3 linked regions of the Danio rerio genome follow. The protein of the gene in region 1 purifies or fractionates together with the protein of each later gene. This does not show direct contact. Links are inferred from orthologs where the notes say so. Each region holds a gene or a part of one and is shown in the gene's direction. Other genes may lie near its edges.

Region 1 (5,413 bases):
TTGATTATGTTGGAGCTTCTGTAAGGTCTCCTGATTTAATTATATCAGTTTTATCAGTCTGTTTCAAGTGTGTATGGTGGCTCAGAGGATTATTTAGATGTTTAATATAAATTAAAATTAATTTTAATACTCACCCTCAGGCCGTCCATGATGTAGCTGACTTTTTTGTTATGTAGAACAGTTTATATCTGAAAATAAGATCAATCGAAAAATCTAAATCAATGGTGAAAACAGAATAATGGATAGTCAGAAAGCAGCCAAATGCTTGTCTTTTACACATAGTTTGTTTTACTTTAATCAGCTCGTATTAAATGTACTTTTTTATGGGTTGAAAATGACAGATCATTCACTGCAATTCATTCATAATTTGCTCTCTTTCCCCTTTATTGTTTTTTTTTTCTAAAACTTATTTTGTGTTTGATATAATTTGAAAAATGACAATATAAAATTTCATAGAAAATGTAAATTAATTTATGACCCAATCATTAAATTTGGGGACAACATTAGTAATACAACGCTATTAGGCTACAAAGTTAGGTCAAAAGTAATCTAAAAGTAATCCAAATGTACTCAGAATACACTAGATAGATAGATCTAGTGTATTCTGAGTACATTTGGATTACTTTTAGATTACTTTTAGATAGATAGATAGATAGATAGATAGATAGATAGATAGATAGATAGATAGATAGATGGATAGATGGATAGATGGATGGATGGATGGATGGATGGATGGATGGATGGATGGATGGATAGACAGACAGACAGACCAAAAGTAGATTAAAGTTTGGCCAAAAGTAATCCAAATGTAGTTAGAATACACTAGATTACTTTACTGATACATTTCATCAAGTAATTTGTAGTCAGTTACATACTACCATTTAGAATTAATCTAATTTTAATCTTGCATTGAACGGACAGACGGACAGACAGATAGACAGATAGATAGATAGATAGATAGATAGATAGATAGATAGATAGATAGATAGATAGATAGATAGATAGATAGATAGATAGATAGCTCTGGGGTTAGGTAAAAAGGATGAAATAATATAATTATTAATTATAATTAGCACACTAATAAGCACACAAATTTTAATTTATTATATTATACAAAATGCTATTTAGAAAAAAACATTTATTGTATCCAAATAGTCTACATTTGAGTGTAATTGTTTGTTCATCACAGACAATATGAATTCTGACAAATTCTTACTTAAAATACATTTATTATTATTGATTAATTATTAAAATAATTGCCTTAAAAGTGTCCCTAAAGCATTTCTTTTAACTTTTCACACAGAAAATCTACTTGTAAAGCATGACTTGAGGTTAGTTAGTCTAGTTTAGTTTGAGTGATAAATTAGCATCATTTAAAATCTAACGTTATAACGTTATACTACTAACGGTAACGCATACATGCACACATATACTGTAATCCGTTTTCAGTGTATCGCAGCTGCATATATGCATCTAGTGTTGGAGGGCGGGTCTCAATCCACCAGTGTCTGTCATCTGGGCGGTGTGTGTGTGTGTATGAGCGTGTGTGTTTGAGAGAGTCGTGCAGTGTAGCCTCTGCTTCTCCATTCACCCCTTTGAGATTTAGCCGTTAGCCGCTAGCTCGTTTCGACGATCATGGCGGCGGTGCGCAGCCTGCGGGTGTCCGTCAAGTCCGACAGCGCGTCCGATCGCTCAGAGTCCGACTCAGAATCAGACTCGGATCGAGATGCCCGAGAAGCGGAACCCATGGAGGTGGAGGAAGGAGAGGTGGAACTGGAGTCCATACCTGTTCGCCGAAGTTTAAAGGAGCTGTTGCCGGTGAGTTACCCCGTAGGCCTCATTCAAACCGCGACCTCGCGTAGCACAGGAAGCCGACGGTTGTTGAAGCCAATGCGGTGGGTAGTTAAGAGCAAGAGAGTACATTCTGCTTTTGAACAATGCGTTTGTAATTAGTTCTGCAACATTGGTATAATGTGTGCAGTTGGTCTGTTATTTCGGAAGATCTTATGAAAGTGTTTAAAATTCTCTGGGCCAAGTTTCCTGATACTAACAGACTTTTCATTTGGCGCACTGTTTGATGCATTATGGTGATTGTTGATCATGGTACAAAGCTGCATTTTAGGTAACACGTTCCAAGACCGACTACTGAAAATATTTAGGTGTATTTGCTGCCCTCATGGATCTCAATGAGATTATGTATGGTTCCACAGGACACCAGCCGGCGATATGAAAATAAGGCTGGCACCTTCATCACTGGCATTGATGTCACGTCTAAAGTAAGTGTCAGCTGTCTGTGTGAATTATCAGGATGTCTATTGATGGATCTGTTGTTCACCATGTTTACATGTGCACAGGAGGCCATTGAGAAGAAGGAGAAGCGAGCAAGAAGATTTCATTTTCGTGCAGAGGAAAATCTGACACAGAAGGATGTGGTTCTGGAGCGGGATTTGTTGAAGAAAAGTGAGAATTCTACACAGCTGTAGATCAACACAGGATTTACACTCAACATGAAGTGAAAACTATATCTGTTTTCTGAATGTCTGAACTTGTGTTTTAGCTCTTATTAGCATATGTATAGGATATAGTAAGACATAGGAGTAGGTTCTGTCTACAGACTGCAAGACAGGGGTGTCACATGATAGGGCGTCACTTGAAGTTATGGAGACCCACATCAAAACTGTGTTGTTGGCAAGATGGTGCTGTACATCAGTTATTAACATTTTACACCTACTTCATGCCCAAAGCCAACCATCATCGTTATTAATGTCTACTCCTTCCCCAAACCTAAACCCAACCATCATAGTTATTAACATCTACTCCTTCCCCAAACCTGAACCAAACCATCATAATTATTAACGCATACACCTTCCCCATTCATCATAGTTCTTAACGTCTATACCTTCCCCAACCATCATCGTTATAAACGTCTACTCCTTCCCCAAACCTGAACCAAACCACCATAATTATTAACGTATATACCTTTCCCATCCATCATCATTATTAACGTCTCCATCTTCCCCAAACCTAAACCCAACCATCAAAGTTACTAACGTCTACACCTTCCCCAACCATCATCATTATTAACATCTGTTCCTTACCCAAATCTAAACCCAACCATCATAGTTATTAACATATACTTCTTTCCCAAACCTAAACCCAACCATCATAGTTCTTAACGTCTGGACTTTCCCCAACCATCATCGTTATAAATGTCTATTCCTTCCCCAAATCTAGACCCAACCATCATCATTATTAACATCTACATCTTCCCCAAACCTAAACCCAACCATCATAGCTCTTAACGTTTACACCTTGCCCAACCATCAACGTTCCCCAAATCTAAACCCAACCATCATCATTATTAACATCTACACCTTCCCTAACCATCATCATTATTAACATCTACATCTTCCCCAAACCTAAGCGCAACCATCATAGCTCTTAACTTTTACACCTTGCCCAACCATTATCGTTAATAACGACTACTCCTTCCCTAAACCCAACCATCATAGTTATTAACGTCTACAACTTCCCCAACCATCATTGTAATAAACGTCTATTCCTATCCATCTACACCTTCCACAACCCTAAATCCAACCATCACAGTTATTTACGTACAGTCACGAGTTAAAGAGGCTTTCATATTTGAAAAAAAGTTGCCTGGTGGAGTTACTAAATGAATGAATATAATAATATATCAAGAGAATTTGAAGAAAACTTATGAAAACATTTGGTGTAAATGTTCTCTGGTAAATATTTCCACCATCTTGCCAACAACATCTCATTGTGACATCTCGCATGGTTCAATGGAATCTCGATAACTGCAGGTTACGCCTCTATCTTACCACAAGTTATGCCCGTCTTGCAGTCCACAGACAGATACTATTGAGACAAAGCCTACTTAAAAGGATTCTAGAACCTAGTGTCTCACACAGTGTACCAGCTGTGTCCACCACCCTTCTTCCACCATCATTTAATTCTACAAAATAGCAAAAATACTCCAATACATGAGATTTTTAGCACGGAAAGAGGCTTTGAGATATTCTCTCCCATTCCTGTAAACTTCAACTTCTGTGTTTCTTAACCATGTTCCTGGATGACCACCATCTCTCCAAATTTTCAATGTCTCCTTAACCAAACACGCCTGATTCTGATCATCGGCCTATTAGCAGAGACTGAAGGATCTGAAATGGTGTAACAGACAAAGGATGCAATGCTGGTGGTCCTTTAGGAGTTTGGTTGATAAACACTGACTTACGCTGAGCATAATTAGCAGAACATACCGTTATTTTCTGTGCAGTTGTTAAATATTTAAATTTAAATTAAATAAAAAGTTATTAATCTGTAGCTAATCTGCATGCTGAACAATGGGTTGCGATCCATACATGGATCTACTGTGATCTGTTGCACACTTATAGAATATAGTTCAAAACTCTGTATTTCTGTAAAATGGAAAGGAGCAGTGTGATCATTCTTTAAAACATCTACTTTTGAATTCCACGGTTAATGCAAGACAGTAGGTTAGTTTAAAACAACATGATCATTCATTTATTTCCCTTTGGCTTAGTCTCATATTTAGAGGTTACCACTGGAGAATGAACTGCCAACTACACCGGCATATGTTTTACACAGTGGATGCCCTTCCAGCCGCAAGCCAGTACTGGGAAACACCCATACACGCTTACATTTACACTCATACACTACAGACAATTTAGTTGATTTAGTTCCCCTGTACCACATGTATTTGGACTGTGGGGGAAACCAGAACACCCGGAGGAAACCCACGTGAACACGGGGAGAACATGCAAACTCCACACAGAAATGTCAACTGGCCCAGCTGGGACTCAAACCAGCGACCTTCTTGCTGTTAGGGGACAGTGCTAACCACTGAGCCACCGTGCCACCTATAAAATCTTATAAATGGACCTCGTTTTTGGAAGATTTTGTTTAAAAATGACATCACCCTAGTTCATATTTTGATTTCGCATCTCTCCCGCTCTTACAGACTGTGTTTTCTCTCTCTTTAGTGATCCCGAAAGTGCGTCTGGAAGCTCTACACATGAGTGGAGTCGATGACATGAGCACTCAGGATGTTTTTGGCTACTTTAAAGAGTATCCGCCTGCACACATCGAGTGGATAGATGACGCTTCCTGTAAGTACACCCTCACAGATATTATTACCACAAAGTGACAAAATTATACTTGATGAATGGCTACAAATCTGAATGGGAAATAGGCCTAGTTTTGTTTAAAGCTCGATTGTGGTGTTCATAGTCAAATCTCACTGTTCCCAGGCAACGTGGTGTGGCTCGACGACATCACTTCCACCAGAGCTCTCATTAACTTGAGTCGGATGCCAGATAAAGAAGAGGTCACAAACACAGACAGCTCGAAACCCTCTGAACTTCCTGTC
Region 2 (4,614 bases), on another chromosome or scaffold:
CCCTTTATTGGACCATTTCCACTGAGTGGTATGGTACGGTACTGTTCGGTACGCTTTTATGGCCGTTTCCACTGTCAAAAGGTATCTAAAAGCGAACCGTACCGTATTACTTTTTGGGTACAAAGCACAACAAAAGGGTACCTAGCACGACAAAAGAATACCAAATGGCGGAGTAAGACACGTAACTGAACGCTATTGGTTTACAGAGATACGCCACAAGCCAGGAGAATGAAAACAAAGGCAGCACCATTTTTAAATACACAGCCGAGACATTACACTGTAATAAGATATACATATAATAACATGCCATGGTCGACCCTAGCTCAAACAAACCTTGTCGTCATCTTGATGAACAGCCACAAAGCCAAGAAGAAGAGCAGAATCTACCCTGTGGCCCATATTTGTTTACAAGGCTATCTAATTCGTGATCGGTTTTGTTTTCCCACTTGCTCTTTCTCGATTGTGCTCGCCACGTGTCTATATTTGAAATAACAATCTTCTTGAGCTGATGATTATAACGTGTGTGTGATTATTGAAGTGCTTCTGACATCCCATCCTTTCAGAAACAGGCAAACGTGAGAGTGAAGTGCAAAAAAACAAAGGAGAAGCCGAAAAAACAAAGGAGAAAAAAAATGATTCTTTCAGCAACCTAAAACATGAACAAACTGCCAAGTTTATTATCGCCTTTTGGATTATTATGAACTCAGAATGATGGAATTACTCTCTAACAGAGGTCACATGTGCTGGTCAAGATTAAAGATGCAGATGAGGGGTTTGCACTGACTGTGGGCTATATGTGTTGTTTTTGATCCCAAAATAAGGACTAAATGTCTGCTGTGTGTAGTTTTTCTGTAGTTGGTAACATTGGAGACTGTAAGGGTCTGTATGTGTTCATATATGTTCATTTATTTATTTATTTTTATATAATTACAGACGTTACAGTAGGTTATTTCGCATCATTGATCTGCAGTTATGATCAAATCATGTTAATAGAAAGGTTAGTAATGAACATTCATGCACAAGTATTTATGTGTGTAAAGCATCTGTTTTGTGAGAAGTGCTTCTCATATGATATGTGAACAACTCGTACAGCTTTACAGTAGACATTTCCTCTAGCAAGAATGAAGTTGAAACTTTGTTGTACACTACGCCCACCATTGGTACCCTTTTAGCAGTGGAAACACAAGTCTGATAAAGGTGACCCATACTGACACGTATCATACCGTACTGTACGACTCAGTGGAAATGGGCCACAAGATTAATGTGGAAGCTGTATTACAATTTCTTTGAGTTAAAAGTTCTGGTCATTTTTGATTAATTTACTGCATCCTTGCTGAATATAAAGTCATTTCTTCTAGTCGTTTAATCTAATCATGTTATACCTTGATTATATCTTTCTTCAGACGGCAGCGTCCTGCATCTGTATTTCTATTATCTCATGAATCTCAACATTCTGACTGTGAAGACCAAAGTTTCTACATCTGTTGATCTGTCTGGAGCCATCAGCGCAGGGTCAGTGTGACACCGCAGGTCAGAAATATACATCATTTATGTAGTTGATGTTTTCTAATGTGTTTGTGTGTCTGTCGCAGGGAGCTGTTGAACTCGGAGAGTTTGCTGAACTGTCTTTATGCGTCAGATCATGGTAATGAGACCCCAAACCCTGCAAACCGCTACCAGTTTGATAAAGTCGGGTACGTCTGCACTTTTTATTGATATCAGTGTTGCTGAAAAAAGCAAATACATAAAGCATGGATCTATATTTTTTTCTGGATTTGTTTTCAAATGTAAAACTGAAAACATTTATATAATTTTTTTTGTCTCATTTGTTGTATGAAAAATAGTTTAAATGCTTTCTGTAGTCGTTTTTTAGCAGATGTTTTATTCTGTTTATTTAAATATTTTAATTTGTTTTAAATATTTATTTATTTAAAATATTATTTTGCAGTACTGCTGTGACTTTTGTAATGAAAATGGCGTTCGCTTCTCATATGGCATTTATGCAATGGTTAAAATTTCAGATATTTAATTAATGGATATTTAAAATTATTATTTATTATTAATTCTCTTTTTTGTATTATTATGAATTTTATAATGTTGTTATTATTATAAAGATGGTAAAATTTTTGTTTAAATAAAAATATGTAATTTTTGTATTAATATTATGAGATTTTATATTATTATATATTATTTTTAGATGTTTGAAATTTATTTAAAATAAAAAGATGTATTTTTGTATTGACATTTTATGTTATTTATTTATTATTATAAAGATGTTTGAAAAAATTTAAATAAAAATATATAATTTTGTATTATTCTGAGATTTTTTGGATCATTATGATTAAAAGGATGTTTGTGAAGAAATATAAAAAATATATGTATAATTTTGTATTATTATGAGATTTATTTTTTTATTAGATGTTTGTGAAAAAAGTATTAAATAAAATAATATATAATTTGTATGATTAATATGAGTTTTATTAATTATTATTAGATGTTTGAAAAAAATATTAAATAAAAATATATAATATTTATATTATGAGTTTTTATATTATTGTTATTGTTAATATAAAGATATTTGTCATCATTAAATAAAAAATATAGAAATTTGTAATATTATTATGCGATTTTTTTTTATATTATTTATTATTCTCATTATTATTATTATTATTATTATTATTATTATTATTATTATTATTATTAGATGTTTGTGGAAAAAAATTATGAAAAATATACATACATTTTATATTGTCGTTGTTGTTGTTGTTGTTATTATTATTATTATTATTATTACATTTGAGTGATATTTTTATATATATATAATTTTCCTGATTTGTGGTTTTATAACAGTTTGACTTCACAATGAAGAATAAATTTAATTTTTGTGCAGAATCACTACATTCGCTGATTATGTGTCAGACCTCGGACATCCGTATGTTTGGGTGCAGAAACTGAGCGGTCTGCAGTTCTCATCTGATGCTGCACAGGTGTGTGCGTGTGTGTGGCTTTCTAAATATTTAAATGACTTGTTTTATATCATTTTTTTTTTTCATCTGTTTTGTTGAATCTTGAATGCAAAATAACACTGGCCATCAGTATTGTCTGTAAAATGTATTTTTCTCATGACAGGGCTCAGAATTTTAAAGTAATGAGTGTTTGTTTCAGTCGGAGCTGTCGGGCAGTGCTCTGAGTGCCAGTCATATGGAGAAGAGCATGAAACTGCTGCGAGGAAGATTACAGTCTCGTCTCGCCCTGCACAAACAGTTCAGCTCACTGGGTAAAAACAGACACTTTTACTCCTTTATATGTCCTGAGTTTACACTGCAAAAATTAGGAGTCTGTTATATTGACAAATTTAATTTGACGTATTGTGGGGGATTTTGAAGATACTCTGTTGGTACATTGCCTATTTCTGGCTCGTCATGCATTTTATAACATGACACTTAAACACCAGTAGGTGGCGACAAGCACCTGTTTGAATGAGTGACTTCTTGGATCATTCATGCAAGTGGTTCATTCAAAACGACTGATTCATTTGGACACAATGCGAGTGCAACTCGAAAAACATTTTGATCAGCCTTTGTTTCCTAAAATCAATAGCAGATTCGTTCTTTGTTTGTGTATCATTAGTAAAAAAAAAAAAGTAGCATTTTATTATACTGCTATTTTATTATAAAACGAGCTCAATTCCTTGCAGAATCAATGTGCTGTTTTCTGTTTGAATGAGTTTATTTTAGTACAAATCACATCAATTATTCATTTACCTAAATGGTCACTTGCTTTATTTCTAAATGAATTAAATCAATGAATCACTTCTGAAGTGTGACTTTCGTTCTAAATCAGGGGTCACCAACATTGGTGCCCTTGGGCACAAGGTAGCCCGCCAGGTTCACATGAGTTGCCTGTTCTAAATATAGCTCACCATAGCACCACACATGAGTAAGATGCATCGAATATTTTTATAGGTATTATTTTTAAATCACACTTGCATTGGTTTAAATTTGAAAATTACTTTAAGTTATATAATAAAAAAACAATTTCAGACAAATGAAGTGTTCCATATTGATAATTATCTGACTTGTTAAATCATTTTTGACAACTACTGTGAGAAATCATTAACATGATCAATGTCTTCACATAGATGAATATTATTAATTATTAATAATAACATATAATTAAAAGTAAATGAAGAAAAATGTGTTATTTAATAATAACACAGCTAGCTCTCTGCAACTCTCACATGGTCACCCACTGAAGCTAAGCAGGGCTGCGCCCGGTCAGTACCTGGATGGGAGACCACTTGGGAAAGCTAGGTTGCTGCCGGAAGTGGTGTTAGTGAGGCCAGCAGGGGGCGCCCAACCTGCGGTCTGTGTGGGTCCTAATGCCCCAGTATAGTGACGGGGACTCTTTACTGCTCAGTGAGCGCCGTCTTTCAGATGAGACGTTAAACCGAGGTCCCGACTCTCTGTGGTCGTTAAAAATCCCAGGATGTCCTTCGAAAAAGAGTAGGGGTTTAACCCCGCCATCCTGGCCAAATCTGCCCACTGGCCTCTGTCCATCATGGCCTCCTAACCCTCCCCATATCATGATTGGCATATCATCACTCTGTCTCCT
Region 3 (4,614 bases), on another chromosome or scaffold:
TCATTAAAAAATCCTGATCTTGAATTTGAGGGGAAAAAAAAGTCAGAATTGTGCAGCCCTAGTGGCTACAAGTGAGCATTTGGGGCAAGTCTTAGGCTGCGTCCGAAACCGCATACTTCCATACTATATAGTACGCCAAAATCAGTATGCGAGCTGAGTAGTATGTCCGAATTCCTAGAATTCGAAAATAAGTATGCGAGAAGTACCTGGATGACTCACTACTTCCGGCGAAATTCTGGAGTGCGCATCCCATGCACACTGCGCTATCCCATGATGCCCTGCGAGAGAATTCATGAATGGGAGTGAAGCGACACAAATTACGCAGGTAGGTTGCGTGACTATGATGAAAAGGCGGATGTAGTACGTCCGAATTCCATTCATACTTTCACATTCATACTGTATAGAACGTACTTTTCTAACGACCGAGTAGTACGTTTAAATTCAAATGCAGTACCTACTGAGTAGTAGGTGGTTTCGGATGCAGCCACAGTCTGCTGCATAAGCACATAAGACATATTTCACAGACCTTGTAGAACTGCCATGCTTGCATTATGAAAAAAAATGTCTCATGCATTTTGTGTCATCTGATCAGCTCTTCTGTATTGGCAGTTGTGGAAACTGCCGATCAAACTCTCCAGATTGATTTTTCAGCTCATTGTTTTTTATTTTTAATTTTTTTTTAGATATTTTCAATTTCTTGTATATTTCTAACACCATAACATAGCTAGAGACACTGCTGAATCTTTGGGTCTTTCTTCCATCAGATATTTCTCATAAAACTGTTCTCTACATTGTAGCCTCCAAATAAAAAGAAAAAGGAGAAGGAACGCTGTACAGCTCTGCAGGACAAGCTACAAGAAGAGGAGAAGAAACAGTTGGAGCATGTGCAGAGAGTTCTGCATCGTCTCAAACTGGAGAAAGACAATTGGTTACTCGCCAGTGAGTGTTTGAATAATCTCTTTTGTGCTCAGGTTTTTTTTTTTTTTTTTTTTTTTTTGGACTCATGCCTTTTTTTCCCTCCTCAGAATCCACTAAGAATGAAACCATCACTAAGTTCCTTCAGCTCTGCATCTTCCCCCGTTGTGTCTTCTCAGCCATTGATGCTGTTTACTGCGCTCGCTTTGTGGAGCTGGTTCACCAGCAGAAAACGCCCAACTTCTGCACCCTACTTTGCTATGACAGAGTGAGTCTACTGTTGTATGACAGACCATTAAAGGCACTTTCAACAAACAGGCTATAAAATATATATTTGTTTGTGTGTGTGTGTTTGGTCTGGGCTTTCCTGGGCAATTAATTGGAGTGGATTTTCATGTGCATTTTGTTTATAAAGCTGCTTGTAGTAAACCTCCAGCACATGCTTTCAGAATAGCATTTACTTCTCAAAATCATACTTCATAAACCAACAAATTTAAAATATATACCCAGGGAGAATTTTTAGTTATTTATCATATATTGACATGAAAATGTCAATTGTTTAATGTTTAATGTCTATTGATTATGCCATCCAATGGCAATAAGTTGCTGATGTGGCAATAAATAAACCAAATGGACAAGCTACAAAGTCAAAACTGATTTAGTTGGACAGTAAGGACACCGAGATAATGAGAGGTGTCTGTATTGTTTCTCAATGAATTAGGGCTGTGTAGTAAATTTTGCATGTGAAATTACTACAAATGAGGAGTATCTAAAATAAATGCTTCTTTTAGATTATTCTGTAATTATGTAATTATTGTTCATGCTGAAGTGCCCTCTGACCTTGGTAGATTTACTATTGATCACACAACTGTGATTCCCTGACAAGATGTGCATGACGATCACAGCTATGCTCAGTTGTGTAATCTCTTCATGAAAATGCCATCTTAGGGTGCTTTCACACCTAGACTTTTGTTTCGGAACCCGTCTCATTTTGCAGAGTTAGCGCGGTTCGTTTGGCATATGTGAAACCACCAATCGCGCTCTGATCTGCGCCAAAACAATAGCTCCGAGATGGTCTTGGCTCGATTGAAACGAACTCTGGAGTGGATCGATTGTAGCGAGAAAGCGATACGATCCGTGCCCAGTCATATCACAGTGTTTTATGGATATTATAATAGGCATATGGCTATATGAAGAAAATTATTAGTAGGGCGGGAGGTCATTCAACAGACATCCCAAGTCTCCCAGAAGTTTCGGAGGTCTGCCGCAAATGCACAGAGACTCCAGGATGCCCGTAAACGAGCGATAATGTCCCGGAAATCACGCATCTCCCTCCCGTTCCTCAAATACGTTGCACACCCTTCTCACCCCTTCCCACCTTATCCTTCCTCGCTCTTCAGACACGTCGCGTGCACCCTGTCAAACAATACCAAATCACTACCACACCTGACAGCTGAGCAGGACTCTATGTGAGGAAAGTTTACTCACACATGACTTGTTTTAGTTCTTTTGGTCCGTTTATAAACTTTGCAGTGTGAAAGCGAACCGGACCAAGAGCAAAGAGCAACAATGTAACAATTTTAATCCCTGTTTCGGGACAACTGAATCGATTCAAAGGTGTGAAAGCACCCTTAATTCTGCTAAACAACAGCTTGCTTGCCATGTGTTTCTGTGCCAGTGACTGCAGTCAAAGAGAATACAGTATTATCTAGCATTCAAGTTTGATGCTGTCATTTAGTTTTTATCTAAATGTTCAAAGTATTTATAATCATTTTATATTCATTAAAAATCCATGACCCTGTGTGCATTGTCAACCTACTAACCCTCTAAATCTGTTTCTTTATTCATCTAGGTCTTCTCTGATATCATCTATACGGTAGCGAGTTGCACAGAGAATGAGTCCCGCCGATATGGTCGTTTTTTGTGTTGCATGTTAGAGACTGTCACTCGATGGCACAGTGACAGAGCCATTTATGAGAAGGTATGGTGTGCCTTTATGATTGATGATTCGTTTAAACTGTTAATGCTGTCTCTACACTGTCCTAGTAGTAGCTGTGAACTGTGAATTTTTAGATGTTTGCAAACAAAAAAATGACGAAATCAAAAATAATTTGCAGTAATTACTTATTAAATAACAAAATGATTTTGTCTTTTTAAAATGAAACTTGGTAACAATAAATTATTCTGATTTTAAGAAACGTGTAGAAATGAGCCCCTTTCACACATACAGACCTTTCTGGAAAATTACCAGCAATTTTCCGGAAAGGTCTGTATGTGTAAATAGGTCCTTACTGGTAAATTTGTTATAAATAAAAATATATATAAATTCATAAAAAAAATACATACATACATACATACATACTAGGGATGTAACGGTATCAGAATTTCACGGTTCGGTAATACCTCGGTATGAATGTCACGGTACGGTATTTATTGAATCATTTACAGGAAAAAAAAAACTTTTGAAAATACTCCAAAAAAAGTGCCAAAAGTGTCAATGACATACAAATTAGCCATCTATCTGTAAGCTTTGAAACACTAACTTCAATTTTAATAACAAAAAAATATTAAACCATGTAAAAAAATAAAGTTTCAATTTAGTATTGTTGAAAACTCATCACATTCAACATTTAATCACTCACTCACTTAGATAGAGATGGGTTTAAAGGAAAATTATCATATAATTATAATCTGGTAAAAGCTGGTATCTCTGGGCATTTACAATGTCCCCTGCAACAGAAAAAAACCCCTCTCATTTGGGACTGAGGTTTCTGGAACAAGAGAGATATGACTTGGCCCAGGTTGACAGCAGTGGGGTAACATTGTGCATTGTCTTTCCCCCACTTGAGAAGACAAATCATGAGTGAGATAGAGGTCTCTTTGCAGTACAAGTCAATGTCTGCATCAATCTGAACAGTGTGCTGTGTTTCTGCAGTCCCCATGACTGTTATTAGTCGTATTCCCCAACTTGCAGGCACGTGCACACATAGGGCTCAACCTGTGCAGTGCACATGCCCTTTTTAGTCTTGGATAGAAAATGCCCTTCCAAAACGATCAAAAGTGCCCCCGCGACGCGACACACCCTCCGTCCAGTCCAGCCCTTCAGTAGGCGCGCGACAACACCTCTCTTGAATATGCGCGCTCAACCCCCCCTCGGCGCTTTACAATACGCGCGCCACAACACAGCTGATCAGAACGCGCGCCACAACACAGCTGATCAGAACGCGCGCGACAGCACCGCTATTCAGCACGCGCGCGGCGACAACACCCGCTTTAGGTTCGATCATTTCCATCTTTTTTTCATCTCCGCTACTAGCAGCACACTCCATTTCCGCATTACTGGATCTGTAGCGACAACAGACCGCAAAGGATTATGGCCACGCCGGGGCTGATGGGAAATGAAGTTTCAGCTACGTCCCGTTCGCTTCATTCGCCTGAGCAAATTTTCTCAGGAGACCTATAGTTTTACCGAGTCATGCGACTTCGGTAATATCGAAAAAAATTAATATTGCGGTATGACGGTATTTACAATACCGTTACATCCCTAATACATACGTTAATGTTTTATATATATATATATATATATATATATATATATATATATATATATTATATACTGTATTATGTTTGTCTAGTTTTAATTTGTTATTGGTTCTTTTGCTAGGAATGTGGTAATTACCCAGGGTTCCTGACTATTTT

The links.
Region 2: the proteins of ncbp3 (region 1) and thoc5 purify together in Homo sapiens (co-immunoprecipitation; 3 studies listed by BioGRID and IntAct, with this or other methods). This does not show direct contact. The link is inferred for Danio rerio from reciprocal best matches to the Homo sapiens genes NCBP3 and THOC5.
Region 3: the proteins of ncbp3 (region 1) and thoc2 purify together in Homo sapiens (co-immunoprecipitation; 3 studies listed by BioGRID and IntAct, with this or other methods). This does not show direct contact. The link is inferred for Danio rerio from reciprocal best matches to the Homo sapiens genes NCBP3 and THOC2.

Annotation. Positions count from the first base shown.
Region 1 is NC_133196.1:33,673,044-33,678,456, reverse strand, and holds the start of ncbp3 (nuclear cap-binding protein subunit 3), read left to right. Parts: upstream 1-1,818; 5' UTR 1,819-1,895; intron 1,896-2,111; 5' UTR 2,112-2,186; coding exon 2,187-2,276; intron 2,277-2,354; coding exon 2,355-2,460; intron 2,461-5,027; coding exon 5,028-5,153; intron 5,154-5,294; coding exon 5,295-5,413. UniProt on the Homo sapiens protein: Associates with NCBP1/CBP80 to form an alternative cap-binding complex (CBC) which plays a key role in mRNA export. NCBP3 serves as adapter protein linking the capped RNAs (m7GpppG-capped RNA) to NCBP1/CBP80.
Region 2 is NC_133200.1:4,395,118-4,399,731, forward strand, and holds part of thoc5 (THO complex subunit 5 homolog), read left to right. Parts: intron 1-1,403; coding exon 1,404-1,512; intron 1,513-1,592; coding exon 1,593-1,694; intron 1,695-2,890; coding exon 2,891-2,987; intron 2,988-3,165; coding exon 3,166-3,277; intron 3,278-4,614. UniProt on the Homo sapiens protein: Component of the THO subcomplex of the TREX complex which is thought to couple mRNA transcription, processing and nuclear export, and which specifically associates with spliced mRNA and not with unspliced pre-mRNA.
Region 3 is NC_133189.1:13,018,022-13,022,635, forward strand, and holds part of thoc2 (THO complex subunit 2), read left to right. Parts: intron 1-797; coding exon 798-939; intron 940-1,025; coding exon 1,026-1,183; intron 1,184-2,767; coding exon 2,768-2,896; intron 2,897-4,579; coding exon 4,580-4,614. UniProt on the Homo sapiens protein: Component of the THO subcomplex of the TREX complex which is thought to couple mRNA transcription, processing and nuclear export, and which specifically associates with spliced mRNA and not with unspliced pre-mRNA.